Linked DNA regions of Saccharomyces cerevisiae S288C. The protein of the gene in region 2 interacts with the protein of the main gene of each other region in a biochemical or structural test. Each region holds a gene or a part of one and is shown on either strand. Other genes may lie near its edges.

Region 1 (4,657 bases), on a different chromosome or scaffold from region 2:
TCCCTATCTCTTTATGACGTTTTGAACGCATTATCCAACCAAACTGGCCAGAGAGGGCAGCAAGGATATCCTCGCCAACCACAAAGGCCACAGAGATACCATCCCCATTATGGACAAGTGCACGTTGGCGGGCATCATCCTCGTCATCATCCATTGTATAGCAGATACAATGGTGTTCCTAATACCTATTACTACCAGTTCCCTGGACAAGCCTATTACTATAGTCCTGAATACGGTTATGATGACGAGGATGGTGAAGAAGAGGACCAAGACGAAGATATGGTGGGTGACAGCGGCACTACAAGACAGGAAGATGGTGGCGAGGACAGCAACTCGAGAAGATATCCATCATATTACCATTGTAATACTGCCAGGAATAATAGGACCAACCAACAGGCAAACAGTTTAAACGACTTATTAACCGCGTTAATAGGTGTTCCACCATATGAAGGCACTGAACCAGAAATTGAAGCAAATACCGAACAGGAGGGCGAAAAGGGAGAAGAAAAGGATAAGAAGGATAAGTCTGAAGCACCCAAAGAGGAAGCTGGCGAAACCAACAAAGAAAAACCTTTGAATCAGCTGGAGGAATCGTCGAGACCACCATTAGCCAAAAAATCTTCATCGTTCGCTCACCTACAAGCGCCTTCCCCAATACCTGACCCGTTACAAGTATCCAAGCCTGAAACGAGAATGGACTTACCATTTTCACCAGAAGTGAATGTCTATGATACCGAGGACACTTACGTAGTTGTTCTTGCGTTACCAGGTGCTAACTCTAGGGCTTTCCACATTGATTACCATCCATCTTCTCATGAGATGCTCATCAAGGGTAAGATCGAAGACAGAGTGGGCATTGATGAAAAATTCTTGAAGATCACGGAACTAAAATATGGTGCGTTTGAGAGAACCGTTAAATTCCCCGTGCTGCCACGCATTAAGGACGAAGAAATTAAAGCTACTTACAACAACGGTCTACTACAAATTAAGGTGCCTAAAATTGTCAATGACACTGAAAAGCCGAAGCCAAAAAAGAGGATCGCCATTGAGGAAATACCCGACGAAGAATTGGAGTTTGAAGAAAATCCCAACCCTACGGTAGAAAATTGAATATCGTATCTGTTTATACACACATACATACATTTATATTTATAATAAGCGTTAAAATTTCGGCAGAATATCTGTCAACCACACAAAAATCATACAACGAATGGTATATGCTTCATTTCTTTGTTTCGCATTAGCTGCGCTATTTGACTCAAATTATTATTTTTTACTAAGACGACGCGTCACAGTGTTCGAGTCTGTGTCATTTCTTTTGTAATTCTCTTAAACCACTTCATAAAGTTGTGAAGTTCATAGCAAAATTCTTCCGCAAAAAGATGAATCTTAGTTCTCAGCCCACCAAAAGAGGTACATGCTAAGATCATACAGAAGTTATTGTCACTTCTTACCTTGCTCTTAAATGTACATTACAACCGGGTATTATATCTTACATCATCGTATAATATGATCTTTCTTTATGGAGAAAATTTTTTTTTCACTCGACCAAAGCTCCCATTGCTTCTGAAGAGTGTAGTGTATATTGGTACATCTTCTCTTGAAAGACTCCATTGTACTGTAACAAAAAGCGGTTTCTTCATCGACTTGCTCGGAATAACATCTATATCTGCCCACTAGCAACAATGTCGGATTCAAACCAAGGCAACAATCAGCAAAACTACCAGCAATACAGCCAGAACGGTAACCAACAACAAGGTAACAACAGATACCAAGGTTATCAAGCTTACAATGCTCAAGCCCAACCTGCAGGTGGGTACTACCAAAATTACCAAGGTTATTCTGGGTACCAACAAGGTGGCTATCAACAGTACAATCCCGACGCCGGTTACCAGCAACAGTATAATCCTCAAGGAGGCTATCAACAGTACAATCCTCAAGGCGGTTATCAGCAGCAATTCAATCCACAAGGTGGCCGTGGAAATTACAAAAACTTCAACTACAATAACAATTTGCAAGGATATCAAGCTGGTTTCCAACCACAGTCTCAAGGTATGTCTTTGAACGACTTTCAAAAGCAACAAAAGCAGGCCGCTCCCAAACCAAAGAAGACTTTGAAGCTTGTCTCCAGTTCCGGTATCAAGTTGGCCAATGCTACCAAGAAGGTTGGCACAAAACCTGCCGAATCTGATAAGAAAGAGGAAGAGAAGTCTGCTGAAACCAAAGAACCAACTAAAGAGCCAACAAAGGTCGAAGAACCAGTTAAAAAGGAGGAGAAACCAGTCCAGACTGAAGAAAAGACGGAGGAAAAATCGGAACTTCCAAAGGTAGAAGACCTTAAAATCTCTGAATCAACACATAATACCAACAATGCCAATGTTACCAGTGCTGATGCCTTGATCAAGGAACAGGAAGAAGAAGTGGATGACGAAGTTGTTAACGATATGTTTGGTGGTAAAGATCACGTTTCTTTAATTTTCATGGGTCATGTTGATGCCGGTAAATCTACTATGGGTGGTAATCTACTATACTTGACTGGCTCTGTGGATAAGAGAACTATTGAGAAATATGAAAGAGAAGCCAAGGATGCAGGCAGACAAGGTTGGTACTTGTCATGGGTCATGGATACCAACAAAGAAGAAAGAAATGATGGTAAGACTATCGAAGTTGGTAAGGCCTACTTTGAAACTGAAAAAAGGCGTTATACCATATTGGATGCTCCTGGTCATAAAATGTACGTTTCCGAGATGATCGGTGGTGCTTCTCAAGCTGATGTTGGTGTTTTGGTCATTTCCGCCAGAAAGGGTGAGTACGAAACCGGTTTTGAGAGAGGTGGTCAAACTCGTGAACACGCCCTATTGGCCAAGACCCAAGGTGTTAATAAGATGGTTGTCGTCGTAAATAAGATGGATGACCCAACCGTTAACTGGTCTAAGGAACGTTACGACCAATGTGTGAGTAATGTCAGCAATTTCTTGAGAGCAATTGGTTACAACATTAAGACAGACGTTGTATTTATGCCAGTATCCGGCTACAGTGGTGCAAATTTGAAAGATCACGTAGATCCAAAAGAATGCCCATGGTACACCGGCCCAACTCTGTTAGAATATCTGGATACAATGAACCACGTCGACCGTCACATCAATGCTCCATTCATGTTGCCTATTGCCGCTAAGATGAAGGATCTAGGTACCATCGTTGAAGGTAAAATTGAATCCGGTCATATCAAAAAGGGTCAATCCACCCTACTGATGCCTAACAAAACCGCTGTGGAAATTCAAAATATTTACAACGAAACTGAAAATGAAGTTGATATGGCTATGTGTGGTGAGCAAGTTAAACTAAGAATCAAAGGTGTTGAAGAAGAAGACATTTCACCAGGTTTTGTACTAACATCGCCAAAGAACCCTATCAAGAGTGTTACCAAGTTTGTAGCTCAAATTGCTATTGTAGAATTAAAATCTATCATAGCAGCCGGTTTTTCATGTGTTATGCATGTTCATACAGCAATTGAAGAGGTACATATTGTTAAGTTATTGCACAAATTAGAAAAGGGTACCAACCGTAAGTCAAAGAAACCACCTGCTTTTGCTAAGAAGGGTATGAAGGTCATCGCTGTTTTAGAAACTGAAGCTCCAGTTTGTGTGGAAACTTACCAAGATTACCCTCAATTAGGTAGATTCACTTTGAGAGATCAAGGTACCACAATAGCAATTGGTAAAATTGTTAAAATTGCCGAGTAAATTTCTTGCAAACATAAGTAAATGCAAACACAATAATACCGATCATAAAGCATTTTCTTCTATATTAAAAAACAAGGTTTAATAAAGCTGTTATATATATATATATATATATAGACGTATAATTAGTTTAGTTCTTTTTGTACCATATACCATAAACAAGGTAAACTTCACCTCTCAATATATCTAGAATTTCATAAAAATATCTAGCAAGGTTTCAACTCCTTCAATCACGTTTTCATCATAACCCTTCCCCGGCGTTATTTCAGAATGTGCAAAATCTATTAGTGACATGGAACTCAAAGAACCAGTTGTTTTTTTGTCCTTTGGTCCTTCGCTGCTTCCCTCGGCATCATCATCATCATCATCATCATTATCATCATCGTCGTCATCATCGTCTATAAAATCATCTCGCATAAGTTTGTCAACATCATTTAGTAATTCCCATCGCTCCGGGTCTCCTTCGTAAATAAACAAAAGACTACTTGATATCATTCTAACTTCTTCTTCTAGCATAGTATTATAAAACAACTGCAATCTTTTCAAAAATGTTTTCTTCAGTTGATGCTTTCTCGCATCCGACAGATGAGGATTGTTAAAATAAAGTTCAATTGCATCTGAAACATTTTGATCGGTTCTTGAACGACCATACAATTTGTTTATAAAGATATAATCACTGTCTGCTTCTTCTTCGTAATATTCGAGCGAAAGCTGATTCAGCACAGAGGGATTTTTCTGTATTTTCATGCCACATATCCTGAAACCCAAAGATCCTGAAGTCGTCGTCTCACTGACTCTTTTCATTCTCTCTCTTTTTTCCAATGATGCCTTCGAATCATACAAAGTTTTGCCTAATTTTATATCAAGTATATTAGGTTTACTAAATCCATATAGTAGATTTTCTAAAACGAGGTATT
Region 2 (4,048 bases):
CGTAAGGAGGTTTGGCCGTTTTGAGTTAACAAATAAAAGGGCAGCATATAAGGAAGAAAATTCTATTTCTAGAAAAGACTATCTCGCAAAACCTAATATTTTGAAGCAGTTAGAGGTCAGGGAATCTAAAAGAAAGGAGTTACAAGACAAGTTGAGTAAGGTTCTTCGGGATGAACTTAAGTTAGATATAAAAGACATCGAATTGGCAACGTCATACTTAATTCGTGTAAGGGCTTCCCTGAAGAATGGATACCCCATAGAAGATGCAAGGTTCAATAGTAGATATTATTTAAAAGAAGAAGAGCGTTTGAAGGCAAGGAGAGAAAGCTGGACGAATGAGAAATTGTCGGAGAGTCTATCCAAGATTGATGAGTGTAGTGATCTTTTGAACTCATCTACATCTTTCAATAACAAGCTAGAGCTACACCAGTATATTTCGGAACAAGAAAAACAAGCTTTGAAGGCAAAACTATTAGAGGACCTAGAAAAATCCCAACACTTAGAAACCAAAAAAGACAAGAATTATATTAAGGCGCTTTTCAAGGACGCTTGTAATTTTTTGACTTTATCTGAAGAAGTACATTTGCGTAGGAAATACTTAAAGTCGGTCTTCCCCGAAACAGATAGTACGGTTGAAACCAAAAGCGGGAAGAAGTCAATTGTGTCTAGACGTTTTGATTACACCAAAAATAAAGTTGAAGTCATTGCTAGAAGTAGGCGGGCTTTTTTGAGCAAGCTTTGATTTTCTTTCCTTACGCACAGTATGTACACATATAAAATGTTTAAGAATGCCTGTAAATATTACTATTTTGTCGCGCAAGTAGCTAAACCTTTCGTCTACACGAAACTTAAAATTTAGTGCTACATGCAAGGGAATATGTTTATACTGTACATTCTCGTCTTCCTTTCATTGATGATATGCATCGCGATTGCTTTCATTTTGTGAACAATCAATTAACTAAAATGCACAGGATAGTAAAATCTATATTTACAAAAAGGCGGATAAGCAAACACTGAAAATCATAATGTTTTTTGTCACTTCGGTCCTTCAAGCTTGGTAGTTGATAAATTGTAAACTATACATCGTTTAATGCGACACATACAGCTCCCTTGTGGTGTCCACCGTACTGTCTGACAATTTCTCTAGTTGATAAATCCCATAATCTCACGTAATGATCGGACGATGCCGTTACTAGATACGCACTGTCAGCACTAAATGCGCAATCCCAAACCCACCTTTGGTGGCCATCCAATGTCGTTTCTAGCTTAAAATCATCATCAATCGACCACACACGAGCAGTGTGATCCGCTGAACATGTTGCCAAATGTTTTACATCAGATGATAGTAGAATTCTAGTTATATATGTGGAGTGCGCTCTGAATTTTGTTACCGGTTTTAGATGGGATGCGTCAGTATGATTTGGCATTTCCCATACGTAACAATTACCTTTAGTATTTGCTGCCGCTAACATCGAACCATCACTTGCCATAGATAAAGACTGGAGAGAGGTATCGTCCTCAGGTGTCAATTGATGGGTACACTGATTTTCTCCTAAGTCCCAAATTCTTATATTACCATCTCTATCACAAGATATCAACTCGCCTTGGTTAGGATGAATTACGACTTCATTTACTGGTGCGTTATGTTTGTAATTTCTAGGAATGGACGGAGAACGCACATCCCAAACTTTAATGGTCCCATCTTCGCTAGAGGTCACCATCCATCTGTTGTCCTGTTGAAAAGAAACGGAGGTAACGTTTCCCCGATGACCCTCAAAGGATGCTACTGGATTGGGATTTGTCGTCCGAATGTCATAAAGCCGTACGTTTTGATGGCCTGCTGTTGCCAACAACTTTTTATCGTTGGTGATTTCTAAGCGATTAACCTGTGAGTCGGAATGCTGAATTGTTCTTGAACAAACCCCAGTAAGAGCCTCCCAAAATCTTATTGTGTGGTCATAGCCAGCAGATACTAAGATAACAGACATCAATCAGAACTCCTTTTTTATATGGATGACAAGACTGCCACGTTGATCGCTGCGCTAATAATATATGGTTGTCGCACTCTTCTATAACATGATCAGTAATAGCTAGTCGTTACTTTTCTGAATCTTAACGTATTGTGTTACCCTCTTTGGTTTATATGAACGTTCCAGAAACTTCTGGAAAAAGAATGGGATATCCTTTTACGGGTTTTTCAACCACTGTCAGCACAAACTCCTTGCCAAGGTAGTTCGAGATTTAATATATATTGTATAGATTTCTCGTCCCTTTACCGTATTGTTAATCCCTTTTTAAACTTATGCGCTTTCTTGTCAAAAATTCTAATTAATATTATTTAAGCTCTTACACGAATTCTTTTAACGACTTAGAATTGTATAACCATCCAGAAACTCTTCAGAGGATAAAGGATAAGTTGTTTGCATTTTAAGATTTTTTTTTTAATACATTCACATCAATATAATAGAGTATAGTATACAGAACTAATAATGGTCAAGGAGACAAAACTTTATGATTTACTTGGAGTATCTCCAAGTGCTAATGAGCAAGAACTGAAAAAGGGTTATAGAAAAGCAGCTCTAAAATATCATCCAGATAAGCCAACAGGTGACACAGAAAAGTTTAAGGAGATATCAGAGGCCTTTGAAATTTTAAATGATCCTCAAAAAAGGGAAATATATGATCAATACGGTCTCGAGGCTGCTAGATCTGGTGGTCCAAGCTTTGGTCCTGGTGGTCCTGGCGGTGCTGGAGGTGCTGGAGGCTTCCCTGGCGGTGCGGGCGGATTCTCCGGAGGACATGCGTTCAGTAATGAGGATGCTTTCAATATTTTTTCACAATTCTTTGGCGGCAGTTCCCCATTCGGTGGTGCTGATGACAGTGGCTTCAGTTTCTCTAGTTATCCATCTGGCGGCGGTGCTGGTATGGGAGGTATGCCTGGAGGAATGGGAGGAATGCATGGCGGCATGGGAGGTATGCCTGGCGGCTTTAGATCAGCATCAAGCTCTCCCACGTATCCAGAGGAAGAAACAGTTCAAGTTAATTTACCAGTTAGTCTAGAAGATTTGTTTGTTGGTAAAAAGAAGTCATTTAAAATTGGAAGAAAGGGCCCACATGGGGCCTCTGAAAAGACACAAATTGACATTCAATTAAAACCGGGTTGGAAAGCTGGTACCAAAATAACATACAAGAACCAGGGTGATTACAATCCTCAAACGGGCCGTAGAAAGACTTTGCAGTTTGTCATCCAGGAAAAGAGCCATCCAAACTTTAAAAGAGACGGTGATGACCTAATTTACACTCTGCCACTATCTTTCAAGGAATCATTGTTAGGTTTTTCAAAAACTATCCAAACAATTGATGGCAGAACCTTACCTTTGTCGAGAGTACAGCCTGTCCAACCCTCACAAACTTCTACTTATCCTGGTCAAGGTATGCCAACTCCAAAGAACCCATCTCAGAGAGGTAATTTGATTGTAAAATATAAAGTGGACTATCCAATATCACTAAACGACGCTCAAAAACGTGCTATAGATGAAAATTTTTAATAGTAATCCTAAGCAAATATAATTATAAACTCAAATAAATTTATCACCACAGAAATCATATAATATACATCATTAATTTTGACTCAATAATCTTAAATTGCGCGGTGCGGTGCGCGGTAAATTAAAGTTTTTGTATGTCTGCATTACCCTGCCCTCTGGCATATAAATGATGTATGTAAGGAATGGTTGACTTGACAGAAGGTCACCGAGAGGCTACAATTTGTCAGGAACAGTCATTACGTAGGGATTTTCAAAAGTTTGACTGATGTCTACAAATATATTGCAACATGTTAAGCAATTGCTCCATAACAGAGATGTATTTAGCTTTTTTCACAACAAGACTGGAAATCTTAATTACCTAGATAACACAACTCAGAAACCGGAAGTTTTTGTAAGTCCAAATTCTACAATAGTTTCAGCCCCAACTTTGGACTCTTTTCAAGCATTGATGGAGAAAGGTAACTTCACCACTTTGCAACTAGCTAAGGTAGGAATTAGAA
Region 3 (3,718 bases), on a different chromosome or scaffold from region 2:
AGGTAAATACATGAAATTGGGTATGGAAAACTCATTAACTGAAAAAATACCCAAACTAAACGTACCTTTGAACCCAAAAGGAAGGAAACTTAGCGCTCCAGGTCAACCAGGTCTATATATAGACCAGCAAGAACTAGAGCTAGAAGAAGATGATTACAAAATGAAGGTACATGAAATGCAAAAGCTGATAGGTCTAGCATCATATGTTGGATATAAATTTAGATTTGACCTATTATACTACATCAACACACTTGCACAACATATACTATTTCCGTCCAAGCAAGTGTTAGATATGACATATGAATTGATACAGTTCATATGGAATACGAGAGATAAGCAATTAATATGGCACAAAAGCAAACCTGTTAAGCCAACAAATAAATTAGTTGTTATAAGCGATGCCTCGTATGGCAACCAACCGTATTATAAATCACAAATTGGCAACATATATTTACTTAATGGAAAGGTAATTGGAGGAAAGTCCACCAAGGCTTCATTAACATGTACTTCAACTACGGAAGCAGAAATACACGCGATAAGTGAATCTGTCCCATTATTAAATAATCTAAGTTACCTGATACAAGAACTTGACAAGAAACCAATTACCAAAGGATTACTAACCGACAGTAAATCTACAATCAGTATAATTATATCCAATAATGAAGAGAAATTTAGGAACAGATTTTTTGGTACTAAAGCAATGAGATTGAGAGATGAAGTATCAGGAAATCATCTGCACGTATGCTATATCGAAACCAAAAAGAATATTGCAGACGTAATGACCAAACCTCTTCCGATAAAAACATTCAAACTATTAACAAACAAATGGATTCATTAGATCTATTACATTATGGGTGGTATGTTGGAATAAAAATCCACTATCGTCTATCAACTAATAGTTATATTATCAATATATTATCATATACGGTGTTAAGATGATGACATAAGTTATGAGAAGCTGTCATCGAAGTTAGAGGAAGCTGAAACGCAAGGATTGATAATGTAATAGGATCAATGAATATAAACATATAAAACGGAATGAGGAATAATCGTAATATTAGTATGTAGAAATATAGATTCCATTTTGAGGATTCCTATATCCTCGAGGAGAACTTCTAGTATATTCTGTATACCTAATATTATAGCCTTTATCAACAATGGAATCCCAACAATTATCTCAACATTCACATATTTCTCATTCTCAATCTTCATGGTATCTTTTTTACACCGTATATGATAAAATACAAGTAATATAAATACCAGCCACTGGATGACATTGAAATTTTATTCTAATAAATGCATCAGCTCTTTAAAAACATTGCTATTTAGCTATTTGAAGCCAGAAATTTTCACAGATTACCATCCGATATAGTGTAACGGCTATCACATCACGCTTTCACCGTGGAGACCGGGGTTCGACTCCCCGTATCGGAGTGTTCTTTTTCTTACCTCTTGAAAAAGAGGTAGTAAAGTCAATATAAATTCTTGGCTGAAGTATTTCAATACAATTGGTCAAGGAAGTTATTATTTTTTTAATGACTTATATCTGTCCAACACAACAGGTTACACCATATAATCTCTATTTACTGGACAGGCGGAAATCGATAGTTTAGCTTTCCTAAAAATCGTTATATTATAGAAGCGTCTTGACACGTTTTCAAAAAAGGAAGAAGCAAGAACGAAAAGAGATAAGGATTCAAAAGAAAGGAAGCCCAATGTCTCGCAAATTTGATTTAAAAACGATTACTGATCTTTCCGTCCTAGTTGGGACTGGCATATCATTATACTACCTGGTCAGTCGGCTACTCAACGATGTTGAATCAGGACCGTTATCAGGTAAATCAAGGGAATCAAAGGCCAAACAGTCCTTGCAATGGGAAAAGCTGGTGAAAAGATCACCGGCATTGGCAGAAGTAACATTAGATGCATATGAAAGGACTATATTATCTTCTATCGTTACGCCAGATGAAATAAATATTACATTCCAGGATATTGGTGGCTTAGACCCGCTTATTTCAGATCTACATGAAAGTGTCATATATCCCTTGATGATGCCAGAAGTATATTCTAATAGCCCTTTACTTCAAGCACCTAGCGGTGTCTTGCTATATGGGCCACCAGGATGTGGTAAAACCATGTTGGCGAAGGCCCTAGCCAAGGAAAGTGGTGCTAATTTTATCTCAATAAGAATGTCATCTATAATGGATAAATGGTATGGTGAATCTAACAAAATAGTCGATGCAATGTTTTCATTGGCGAACAAGTTACAACCTTGTATAATATTCATTGACGAAATTGATTCATTCCTTAGAGAACGGTCTTCTACAGATCATGAAGTTACGGCAACCTTAAAAGCTGAATTCATGACTTTATGGGATGGCTTATTGAATAATGGAAGGGTTATGATTATCGGTGCTACTAATCGGATAAATGACATAGATGATGCGTTTTTGAGGAGGTTACCAAAAAGGTTTCTTGTTTCATTGCCTGGTTCTGATCAACGTTACAAAATATTAAGTGTTTTATTAAAAGACACTAAACTAGACGAAGACGAATTCGACTTGCAACTGATTGCAGACAATACCAAAGGATTTTCTGGGTCGGACCTGAAAGAGCTTTGCAGAGAAGCGGCCTTAGATGCAGCAAAGGAATACATAAAACAGAAGAGGCAGCTCATTGATAGTGGTACAATCGATGTTAATGATACTTCTTCCTTGAAGATAAGACCATTAAAGACAAAAGATTTTACAAAAAAATTAAGAATGGATGCTACAAGTACGTTGTCATCTCAACCTCTTGATTAAGGAAGGAAAATTAGAAAAAAAAGAAGAAAGCTTTTTATTCACGCATCATATCATATCAGATAAGCTAGTTTTCACATAATATGTGTATATGCAGTATACTCCTGTACATAACTTCCTTTATTTCTGCTTTATAATTATATACTAGTTATTTTTCTTGGGCCGCTTTTATTACGGCAACTATTCTATCAGGTTTAGTCATAATCTAAATCTAAAGATGGGGAAAAGCCAAAAACACTCAACTTTCAATGAATACAAAGCTTCATGAAAGCAATAGATAAAATGACGGATAATCCACCACAAGAAGGCTTAAGTGGGAGGAAAATAATATATGACGAAGATGGCAAACCGTATGTTGGATTACGCAAAGCAATTCAGGATCTACTGATCCAATCAAGCTTGTGATTTTTTATTAACAAATTCTCTATAATAGTTGCCGATCATGTAACACCCTACTTGACTTTCAGTACGTGACCGGGAAGATATCTAATGGCCTGAAGAACCTCTCATCTAACGGTAAACTAGCAGGTACGGGGGCTCTCACTGGCGAAGCTTCAGAGTTGATGCCTGGCTCAAGAACATACAGGAAGGTTGACCCTCCTGACGTAGAGCAACTAGGTAGATCTTCATGGACGCTGTTACACTCTGTAGCTGCCAGCTATCCTGCTCAACCTACAGACCAACAGAAGGGTGAAATGAAACAGTTCTTGAATATCTTCTCACATATTTATCCTTGCAACTGGTGTGCTAAAGACTTTGAAAAATATATCAGAGAAAATGCACCACAAGTTGAGTCAAGAGAAGAACTTGGGAGGTGGATGTGTGAAGCCCACAATAAAGTCAATAAGAAATTGAGGAAGCCCAAATTTGACTGTAATTTCTGGGAAAAAAGATGGAAGGACGGCTGGGACGAATAA

Evidence for each region. The genes of interacting proteins can lie anywhere in the genome.
Region 1: the proteins of SIS1 (region 2) and SUP35 are reported together in a solved structure, tested with the Saccharomyces cerevisiae proteins (2 studies listed by BioGRID, with this or other methods).
Region 3: the proteins of SIS1 (region 2) and MSP1 form a complex in vitro, tested with the Saccharomyces cerevisiae proteins (one study listed by BioGRID).

What each region holds. Positions count from the first base shown.
Region 1 is NC_001136.10:806,639-811,295, forward strand, and holds SUP35 (translation termination factor GTPase eRF3), read left to right. Parts: upstream 1-1,685; coding exon 1,686-3,743; downstream 3,744-4,657. Other genes in the region: heat shock protein HSP42, read left to right, coding at 1-1,110; ARG82 (inositol polyphosphate multikinase), read right to left, coding at 3,927-4,657. UniProt on the Saccharomyces cerevisiae protein: GTPase component of the eRF1-eRF3-GTP ternary complex, a ternary complex that mediates translation termination in response to the termination codons UAA, UAG and UGA.
Region 2 is NC_001146.8:618,007-622,054, reverse strand, and holds SIS1 (type II HSP40 co-chaperone SIS1), read left to right. Parts: upstream 1-2,489; coding exon 2,490-3,548; downstream 3,549-4,048. Other genes in the region: mitochondrial 54S ribosomal protein bL27m MRP7, read left to right, coding at 1-742; TOR complex subunit LST8, read right to left, coding at 1,077-1,988; putative ubiquitin-protein ligase ASI3, read left to right, coding at 3,814-4,048. UniProt on the Saccharomyces cerevisiae protein: Required for nuclear migration during mitosis. It is required for the normal initiation of translation. Might mediate the dissociation of a specific protein complex of the translation machinery. Essential for viability.
Region 3 is NC_001139.9:540,488-544,205, forward strand, and holds MSP1 (protein-degrading AAA family ATPase MSP1), read left to right. Parts: upstream 1-1,715; coding exon 1,716-2,804; downstream 2,805-3,718. Other genes in the region: ERV1 (flavin-linked sulfhydryl oxidase), read left to right, coding at 3,066-3,151, 3,235-3,718.